2 linked regions of the Callithrix jacchus genome follow. The protein of the gene in region 1 binds, or shares a complex with, the protein of each later gene. Links are inferred from orthologs where the notes say so. Each region holds a gene or a part of one and is shown in the gene's direction. Other genes may lie near its edges.

What was found. Proteins that work in one complex are often made in the same cells at the same time.
Region 2: ACTL6B (region 1) and DPF1 share a complex: the UniProt entries of both Homo sapiens proteins name them as parts of the neuron-specific chromatin remodeling complex. The link is inferred for Callithrix jacchus from reciprocal best matches to the Homo sapiens genes ACTL6B and DPF1.

The regions. Positions count from the first base shown.
Region 1 is NC_133503.1:13,071,576-13,075,915, forward strand, and holds the start of ACTL6B (actin-like protein 6B), read left to right. Parts: upstream 1-1,506; 5' UTR 1,507-1,588; coding exon 1,589-1,613; intron 1,614-2,063; coding exon 2,064-2,140; intron 2,141-2,356; coding exon 2,357-2,522; intron 2,523-2,821; coding exon 2,822-2,922; intron 2,923-4,340. UniProt on the Homo sapiens protein: Involved in transcriptional activation and repression of select genes by chromatin remodeling (alteration of DNA-nucleosome topology).
Region 2 is NC_133523.1:33,814,965-33,819,171, reverse strand, and holds the start of DPF1 (zinc finger protein neuro-d4), read left to right. Parts: upstream 1-1,270; 5' UTR 1,271-1,375; coding exon 1,376-1,407; intron 1,408-4,207. UniProt on the Homo sapiens protein: May have an important role in developing neurons by participating in regulation of cell survival, possibly as a neurospecific transcription factor. Belongs to the neuron-specific chromatin remodeling complex (nBAF complex).

The DNA.
Region 1 (4,340 bases):
TGGGCATGTGGTGAGCAGAGAACCTTCAGGGGCATGTTGACCTCACAAAGTACCCACTTCCTGTGCCATCTCTGGTCTCAAAGCTCCCTCACCCCCAAACAAGTAGATGGGCACATGCTCAACACACACAAGCATTCAGATGTGCATATGTACACACATGCACACACACGCCAACACATACAGACACACACACCCTCACAGAAGGTGTGTGTGTCAGCTACCCCAAGGTGTCAGAGCTGCTTCTTCGTCTTTGCTACCAAAACTGTGGTGCCAGGAGCCCAGAAGAACCTGGGGTCCAAGCAGTAGAAAATCTTTTGCTAGTCTGGCACTGTGGCTGACACCTGTAATCGCAATGACTCAGGAAGCCAAGGCGAGAGGCTCACTTGAGGCCAGGAGTTCGAGACCAAATTGGACAACATAGTGAGGGTCCGTGTCTTAAAAAAAAAAAAAAAAAAAGGCTGGGCACGGTGGCTCACTCCTGTAATCCCAGCACTTTGGGAGGCCAAGGTCGGCGAATCACGAGGTCAGGAGATCAAGACCATCCTGGCTAACACGGTGAAACCCCGTGTCTACTAAAAATACAAAAAATTAGCACGCGCCTGTAGTCCCAGCTACTTAGGAGGCCGAGACAGGAGAATCACGTGAACACCCAGGAGGCAGAGGTTGCAGTGAGCTGAGATCGCGCCACTGCACTCCAGCCTGGGCGACACAGCAGGAGTCCGTGTCAAAAAAAAAAAGGAAAAAACAGGGAGAGATGGAGACACACTCCTTCTGGTCTCTCTCTCAATCTTCCCTTCCCTCCCTCTCTCAGTGATTCCATTTAGGCCCGGGATTGGCAAAACCGGGCTCACAGCAGCCTGAAGATAGATGACCCTTCTGGGTACTGGAGTTCTCTCCGCAACCCTGCTTTAAAAGGTAAGGGAATAGAGAAGGGACGAGATGGCTCATGCCTATAATTCCAGCACTTTGAGAGGCTGAGGTAGGAGGATTGCTTGAGGCCAGGAGTTAGAGATCAACCTGGGCAACACAGCAAGACCCCATCTCTACAATATATATATATATATATATATATTTTTTTTTTTTTTTTAATTAGCCAGGTGTGCTGGCACCTGCCTGTAATCCCAGCTACTTGGGAGGCTGAAGAAGATCGTTTGAGCTCAGGAGTACGAGACCAGCCTGGGCGAAATAACAAGACCCCATCTCTACCAAAAGAATTAAAATAATAAAACTAAAAAGCAAGGGGGTAAGGACCTCATCAGTCGTCCTACAGAGTCTTGGTCTCCTCCTCTTTCCTGCTCTCTCCTCTCTGCCACGCGTTCCTTAGGAACGGTTAAGTCCCTGCTGGGAGCCCCCTGCCCCATCTCCTCCCGGCCGCCTAACCGGGGACGTCTTTCCCTTTAAAGCAGCGGCCCCCGTCCGGGTCATTGTCTCGCCTGGCAGCCAATCGGCGGCGCCGTTGGGGGCGGGGGATCCGGCTTCCCGATTGGCCGCCTCGCGCCCCGCCCCGCCCGGGATCCCGGGAGCTGTCCGGCCGCCTCGGTGCTGATCCCGCCGCCGCCCACGGGCCGCGAGCCGCGCAGAGGGCACTATGAGCGGCGGCGTCTACGGCGGAGGTGAGCGAGCCTTGGGCCCCGGGCTCCCGCAGCCTTGCGTTCCGAACCCGCGTCATCGATCCGAGCTCTGGGCACCCCGGGGCCTGTCACCTCCGTGCACGAATGGGTCCGGTCCCAGGCTTGGGTCTCCCGCCACTCCTACGCTCGGTCCTCCCTGCACGCCTCGCGCGCACCGGGCCCAACCTCTCTACCTTGCAACCCACCTCCAACTGGTCCCCGGCCCCTTCCTTTCCCGTCTGGAGGGCGACCTGAGCAAGTCCACTGGGCAAGCAGGGACCTGGCGGTGTGATGCCCCTGCCCCCAGTCCCAGGACCTCGGACTCCAGTCCCACCTGCCCCAGACTGGTGATGAAAGTAGTGAGACTGTGGCTCTGCCCTGACTTCCTCTCGGAGCTACCTAGCGGGAGAGAGTTCGGGGGAAGTCCCCTTACAGGCCTGTTTCCCCGCACAGATGAGGTGGGGGCGCTGGTCTTTGACATTGGCTCCTTCTCAGTCCGAGCTGGGTACGCTGGGGAGGACTGCCCCAAGGTGAGCCTTTCAGTCTCCTCCCCAAATTCTAGGGGCTCTGAACCCTTCTTCGGGCTTTCCAGTGACCCAGGGCTCTCCCAGATCGCCCAGAAGCTCTGCTGAGCGGGAATGCGGGAATAAACCCAGGGGCGGGCTGAGGACCCCGCTGTGGGGCTGGACAGGGGCAAGAAGGTGACCCCTCTCCCTGCCGATCCTCCCCCAACCCTTCCCCACCAGGCTGACTTCCCCACCACGGTGGGGCTGCTGGCCGCGGAGGAGGGGGGCGGGCTGGAGCTGGAGGGGGACAAAGAGAAGAAAGGGAAGATCTTTCACATCGACACCAATGCCCTGCACGTGCCTCGGGATGGAGCAGAGGTCATGTCGCCCCTGAAGAATGGCATGAGTAAGGGGCCCTCACCCATCACCTCCTGACACAGACAGGGAGCTCACTCTCCATGATCTGGGACATAGCAGCCCCAACTCCCCAAGGATTCTTCCTTGCAGTCCCAGGGTTCTTCTCACTGCCTCCCTGAGCTGCCTGGTTCCCATCCCAGGGGCCCATCAGGTTTCTGGGAAGGAGGGTGTTCCCCTGGAGCTGGACTCACTGACCCTCCTTTGGACTTGGCCTTCCTCCCTCCTTTTCCTCCTGTCCCTGACCCTTGCCTGCCCTCTTGCGTCTCTGTGCTGCTCTTCTGGCCCCAGTTGAGGATTGGGAGTGCTTCCGAGCCATCCTGGATCACACCTACAGCAAACATGTCAAGTCTGAGCCAAACCTGCACCCAGTGCTCATGTCCGAGGCTCCGGTGAGTGCCTACTCCATACCTCCACGTCCGGCCCTGATCTCCACCGAACCTCATTCCCACCATCCACCTCTCCTCTCCCCTCAAGCCACCACTCTCAGCCACTTGACCTCCCTTTTCCATCTTCACCACTTTCTTTCCTTCCTAGCTGTCTCCAGCCCTCCTGCTCTTTTCCTGCTCTATCTTACTCTGCTGCCCTTCTCCGTCTCCAAGTCCTTTTTAAATTTTTAATCTTTTGAGACAGAGTCTCACTCTGTTGCCCAGGCTGGAGTGCAATCACGAGATCTCAGCCTGTGTCTCCTGGGTTCAAGGAATTATCTTGCCTAAACCTGCCAAGTGGCTGGGATTACTGGCACCCGCCACCATGCCTAATTTTTGTATTTTTACAAAAAATTCGCCAGGTGTGATGGCGGGCGCCGGTAGACATTTTTTAAATGTTCTTACCTGCCTCCTTATATTTCCCCCTGTATAAAAGCAACTGTTTTTCTCCCTTTTGAGCTAATTTTTGGAGTATTTTCTTTCATATCTCTAATATCACACTTAAATTGCAGCCTGTGGAGTTTTTTGTTTTAGGTATTATCTATGAATTTTCCACTTTAGAAAATGGTCGCTTAGCTCTCTTTTCCTCCCCAGCCTATACCACACAGATTTCTCATCACCCACCTTTAAGTACAGTGGCTTCTGTTGTTGTGGTTGTTTGGGGTTGTGTTGTTTGTTTTTGAGACAGGCTCTTACTTTGTCACACAGGCTGGAGTGCAGCAGCACGATTCTGCAGCCTTTACCTCCTCAGCTCAAGTGACCCTCTCATTTCAGCCTCCGGAGAAGCTGGAACTACAGACATGAGCCACCACGCCCAGCTGATTTTTACATTTTTTGTAGAGGCAGGGTTTCACCATGTTGTCCAGGCTGGTCTGGAATTTCTGGGTCTTGAATTCAAGCAACCTGCCTGCCTCAGCCTCCCAAATTGCTGAGATTACAGGTGAGATCCACCGCATCCAGACCAGTTGTATTTTAGACTTTAAAAGAAATCAGGGCCAGGCGCGGTGGCTCAAGCCTGTAATCCCAGCACTTCGGGAGGCCGAGGCGGGTGGATCACGAGGTCAAGAGATCAAGACCATCCTGGTTAACATGGTGAAACCCCATCTCTTCTAAAAATACAAAAAAAAAAAATTAGCTGGGCATGGTGGCACATGCCTGTAATCCCAGCTACTCAGGAGGCTGAGGCAGGAGAATTGCCTGAACCCAGGAGGCAGAGGTTGCGGTGAGCCAAGATTGCACCATTGCACTCCAGCCTGGGTAACAAGAGCAAAACTCCATCTCAAAATAAAATAAAATAAAAATAAATAAAAGAAATCAGTATTCAGTATTTAGACTCTTTTTAAATTAGAGATAATTTTAAGAGAATAGTTTGTAAAGATGGG
Region 2 (4,207 bases), on another chromosome or scaffold:
TTTCTTTTTCTTTTCTTTCTTTCTTTTTTATTTTTAGAAACAGTCTCTCTCTGTTGTCTAGGTGGAGTACAGTGGTGTGATCACAGCTCACTACTGCCTCCAACTTTCAGGCTCAAATGACCTTTTTGCCTCAGTCTCCTGAGTAGCTGAGACTGCAGACATGCATCACCACACCTAGATAATTTTTAAACTTTTTGTAGAGATGGGGTCTCATTATGTTGCCCAGGCTGGTCTCGTGCTCTGGGGCTCAAGCAATCCTCCTGCCTTAGCCTCCCAAAGTGCTGAGATTACAGGTGTGAGCCACTGTGCCCTGCCTCTTCTCTTCTCTTGTTTTTTTTTCCTCTCTCTCTCCCTCTCCCTTCTTTTTTGAGACAAGGTCTCACTCTGTCATCCAGACTGAAGTGCGGTGGCACAATCTTGGCTCACTGCAACCTCTGCCTCCCAGGCTCAAGTGACCCTCCCACCTCAGCCTCCTGAGTATCTGGGACTACAGGCATGCACCACCACACCCGCCTAATTTTTGGTATTTTTGGTAGAGATGAGGTTTCGCCATGTTGCCCAGACTGGTCTTGAGCTCCAGAGTTCAGATGATCCACCTGCCTCGGCCTCCCAAAGTGATGGGATTACAGGCATGGGCCACCATGCCCGGCCCAATTTTCTTTTCATAGCATCTCTCACTGTCTGAAATGATTTTATCTCTTTATTTTCTTATTATCTGTATTTCTCCACTAGAACGTCAGCTCCTTGAGAGCAGCAACTTTGTTTTGGTCATTGCTGTATCCTTAGTGCCTAGAAGAGTTTCTGGAACATAGCAGCCACTCAGTAAACGAACAAAGGCGTGATTAACCCCTGTGCTTGTTCACAGGCTCGCTGATATAGAAGAGAAACCCAAATAGGCCCAGACAAAAATACACGATAAAAACCCTAGGGTCATCCACATACCCTGGGGACATCCAGAAGCTAGGGACCACCTGCTCCCGCGCTCGCGGTGCCTCGAGGGTGGAGATCCCGAGCTGGGGACGGAGCACTCCCAGGGAGAGAGGAAAGATGCTCTGGGGGCAGCCCCGCCCCTCCCTGTATCCCCAGCAGCCAATGGGAGCGCGGTCCTCCTGACGCCCCCTGGGACGTGTAGTCTGGGCAGGGGCGCCCTCGGGCGCCGCCGAGCGCCCCTAGACTCCACGTCCCGTCGTGCGCTGGGAGGCGCGGGGATTGGCTGAGCCCCGCCCCCGGCCCGCCCCGCTCCGCTCGCGCCGCAGCCCCAAGAATGAATGAAATCGTAGCGCGCTGGGCGGCAGAGCGGGCGGCGCAGGCCGGGCTGGGCCCGCGCGCGGCGGCAGCGGCGCCCCGGGCCGGAGGCGGCCCAGCCGAGCGGGCCATGGCTACCGCCATTCAGAACCCGCTCAAGTCGTGAGTGTCCCCGCCGTCCCCGCCCCCTGTCCAGACCCCCCCACCAGGAGCCCTTCCCCCGCCCGCCCTGTGGCTGAGGAGGGGGACGCAGCGCGCGGACCCGTAGTTGAGTGGGGGCCCCCAGCGCAAACCGTTGCCCCGGGGGTCGGCCACCCCCTGTCGCCCCCTGGGGTTGGAGGCGGGAGCCTCTTCAGGGTCGCGGGGGCGCCTCTTCTTTGTCGCTGTCAGTGAAGGAATGTGGCGCGGGCTGGGGGTGGCGGAGGCCGTTTCCCCACCCAGAGTGGGGGTAGGGGTTTCCCTCTCCTCCATCTCTCCCTCAGGATCTCCGGAGGTGCCGGGCCTGCCCCGGCCGGGGCTGGAAGCTCGAACACCTGAGTCCGGACCTCGGTCCCCAGGGTTTCCATCACCCGCTCTCCCCTCATCAAAGCGCCTTTCTCTCTTTCCCCTTCTTTCTCTGGGGACCCCGGACCTCGCGGCCGCAGGGTGGGAGCTGAGACGTCGGGGGTCCACGGTTCCATCCCCGCTGCCTCCCTTTTTTCCTTCTGGGATCTCCGGGAACTAGAACCCCGAACCCACGGCCAGCATGGACCGCGGCATCCCTTCCTCTCCCCGCCCATACACATCAAACCGGAGCATCTCTGGTCCCCTCCGGGACCGGCCCGGGAAGGGGGTGCCTGCCGGGAGCGCCCTCGGTCTCCGGGGATTCCCTCCCTTTCTTCCTGGCCGCGGCCCTCCGAGCGTTCGCATTCCTCCCGGGCCCGGTGGCTGGGGACCGGGACGCCTGGGTCCGAGCCTAGACCCTCCTGACCCTCCCCTCTCCCTGCCATCCCTCGCGCTCTCCACCCCTCCCCTTCCCCCTCTCCATCTCGGGCTTGCTTCCTCTTCGGGATCCCGGACTCCTGGGTCCCAGAGCTCCCCACCCCCACCCCTAGTTCCTAGGCGGTGACAGCGGTCTCCCAGTGACAGGCGCTTGGCTGCTCCCGCCCTCCCTCCCCGCAGGCGAGCGCAGCGCTCCCCTCCCCCTCCTCCTGGGCCTGGTGGAGGAGGCGGAGGGCGAGCGCCCGCGGCGGCGCCGCACAAAGGGGCCGGGGCGACCTCCCCACCCTTCCCCCAACCCCGCTCGCTGGCTGCCTTGACCTTGAACATCGAGGGCTGGGGGCGGGGCGAGTGGGGACAGGGAGAGAGGGAGCGCACCCCCCACCCCACCCACAAGAAGGGCTGCGCCTGCCGGCTGGACCAGAGGCCGCCAGTTGCTTCTGGTTTCTGGCGGGAATGGGGGTGGGAGGTGGAGGGTGGGAGTTGGGAGAGGAAGGGGGGCAGGGACTTAGAGGCACGCGCCTACACGTGTGGCTCCGCCGTTAGCAGGGTGCCGGGAGCGAGTGTGTGGGACTCGGGTCCGTGAGAGGTGGTGCATGATGCTGACACCCCTCCGCTGCCCTCTCACCCTGAGTGGCACACACAGTTGTCTCTCATGTGAGGGACACTGCACAATGGTTGTGAGCAGGGTGCCGGGAGCGAGAGCTCCTGTGCAGGTTGGTGGATCTACCCCGCACTCTGACCCTGGCCCAGACACTCCCCCCCCCCCCCCAGGAGGTGTGCTGCATTGGAGAGCAGGGACCTGGGGAGAAAGCCTGGACTGAGAGGGCCCTGCCCCCTGTGCCCTCCCCTTCCAAAACGTATCTGCTGGGGTGAAGGTGGGGAACTCCCTGACTCCTGAAAGAATGTGAATCACATCCCTTGGGGAGAAGGAGCTGGAGGGTGCCGCCCTGGGAAGTTCCACTGCCTGAGTTCTAAAACCAGCTTGAGCCATGAACGTCCCCTGCCGCGAGCCTCAGTTTTGCCATCTGTGTATGGGGCTTTTTTTTTGTTTGTTTTTTTGAGACTGAGTTTCACTCTTGTTGCCCAGACTGGAGTGCAGTGGTGTGATCTTGGCTCACCGCATCCTCCACCTCCTGGATTCAAGCGATTCTCCTACCTCAGCCTTCCCAGTAGCTGGGACTACAGGCGCCAGCTAATTTTTGTATATTTAGTAGAGACGGGGTTTCACCATGTTGGTCAGGACGGTCTTGATCTCTTGACCTCATGATCTGTCGCCTCAGCTTACTAAAGTTTTGGGATTACAGGCGTGAGCCACGCACCTGGAGTATGGGGTCTTCTAACAGCCCTTACCACCCCATACGGCTGTCTCGGGGCTTAAATAAGGCCGTCTTTGTAAAGCGCTTAGCACAGAGCTCTGACCCTGACCAAATGTAGTGATTAGTAGGAGTAGTATCAATATTGATTTATGAAATTGATTTCTACTGTGGGTCAGCTCCACACAGGGCACTGGGGGATGGGAGCAGGAGGATTGTTTGGGCCAGGGAGAGGACTCGGAGGAAGTGTGCAGGAGTGTGGGAGGGGTGTGTGCAGGTGATTAGGCAGAAAGGAAAGAAAGGAGAGCCCGCTCCAAGTGTCAGCCTGGGTCTATGGGTAGAAACGCTGCTGGTGGGCCAGGGACGGTGGCTCACGCCTGTTTTTACAAAAATACAAAAATTAGCCGGGTGTGGTGGCACCTGCCTGTAGTCCCAGCTACTTGGGGGTTTGAGACGGGAGGACCACTTGAGCCCAGGAGGTGGATGCCTCAGTGAGCTGTTAGTGCCACAGCCCTCTAGCCTGGGCCATCAAGTAAGACTCTGTCCAAAAAAAAAAAAAAAAGAGAGAGAGAGAGTGAGAGAGAGAGAGAGAAAGAGGAAAGAAAGGGAGGGAGAGAAAGGAAACTGGAAATTCTGCTGGTAGAGGAGGGCTACACTCAGTGTCTACA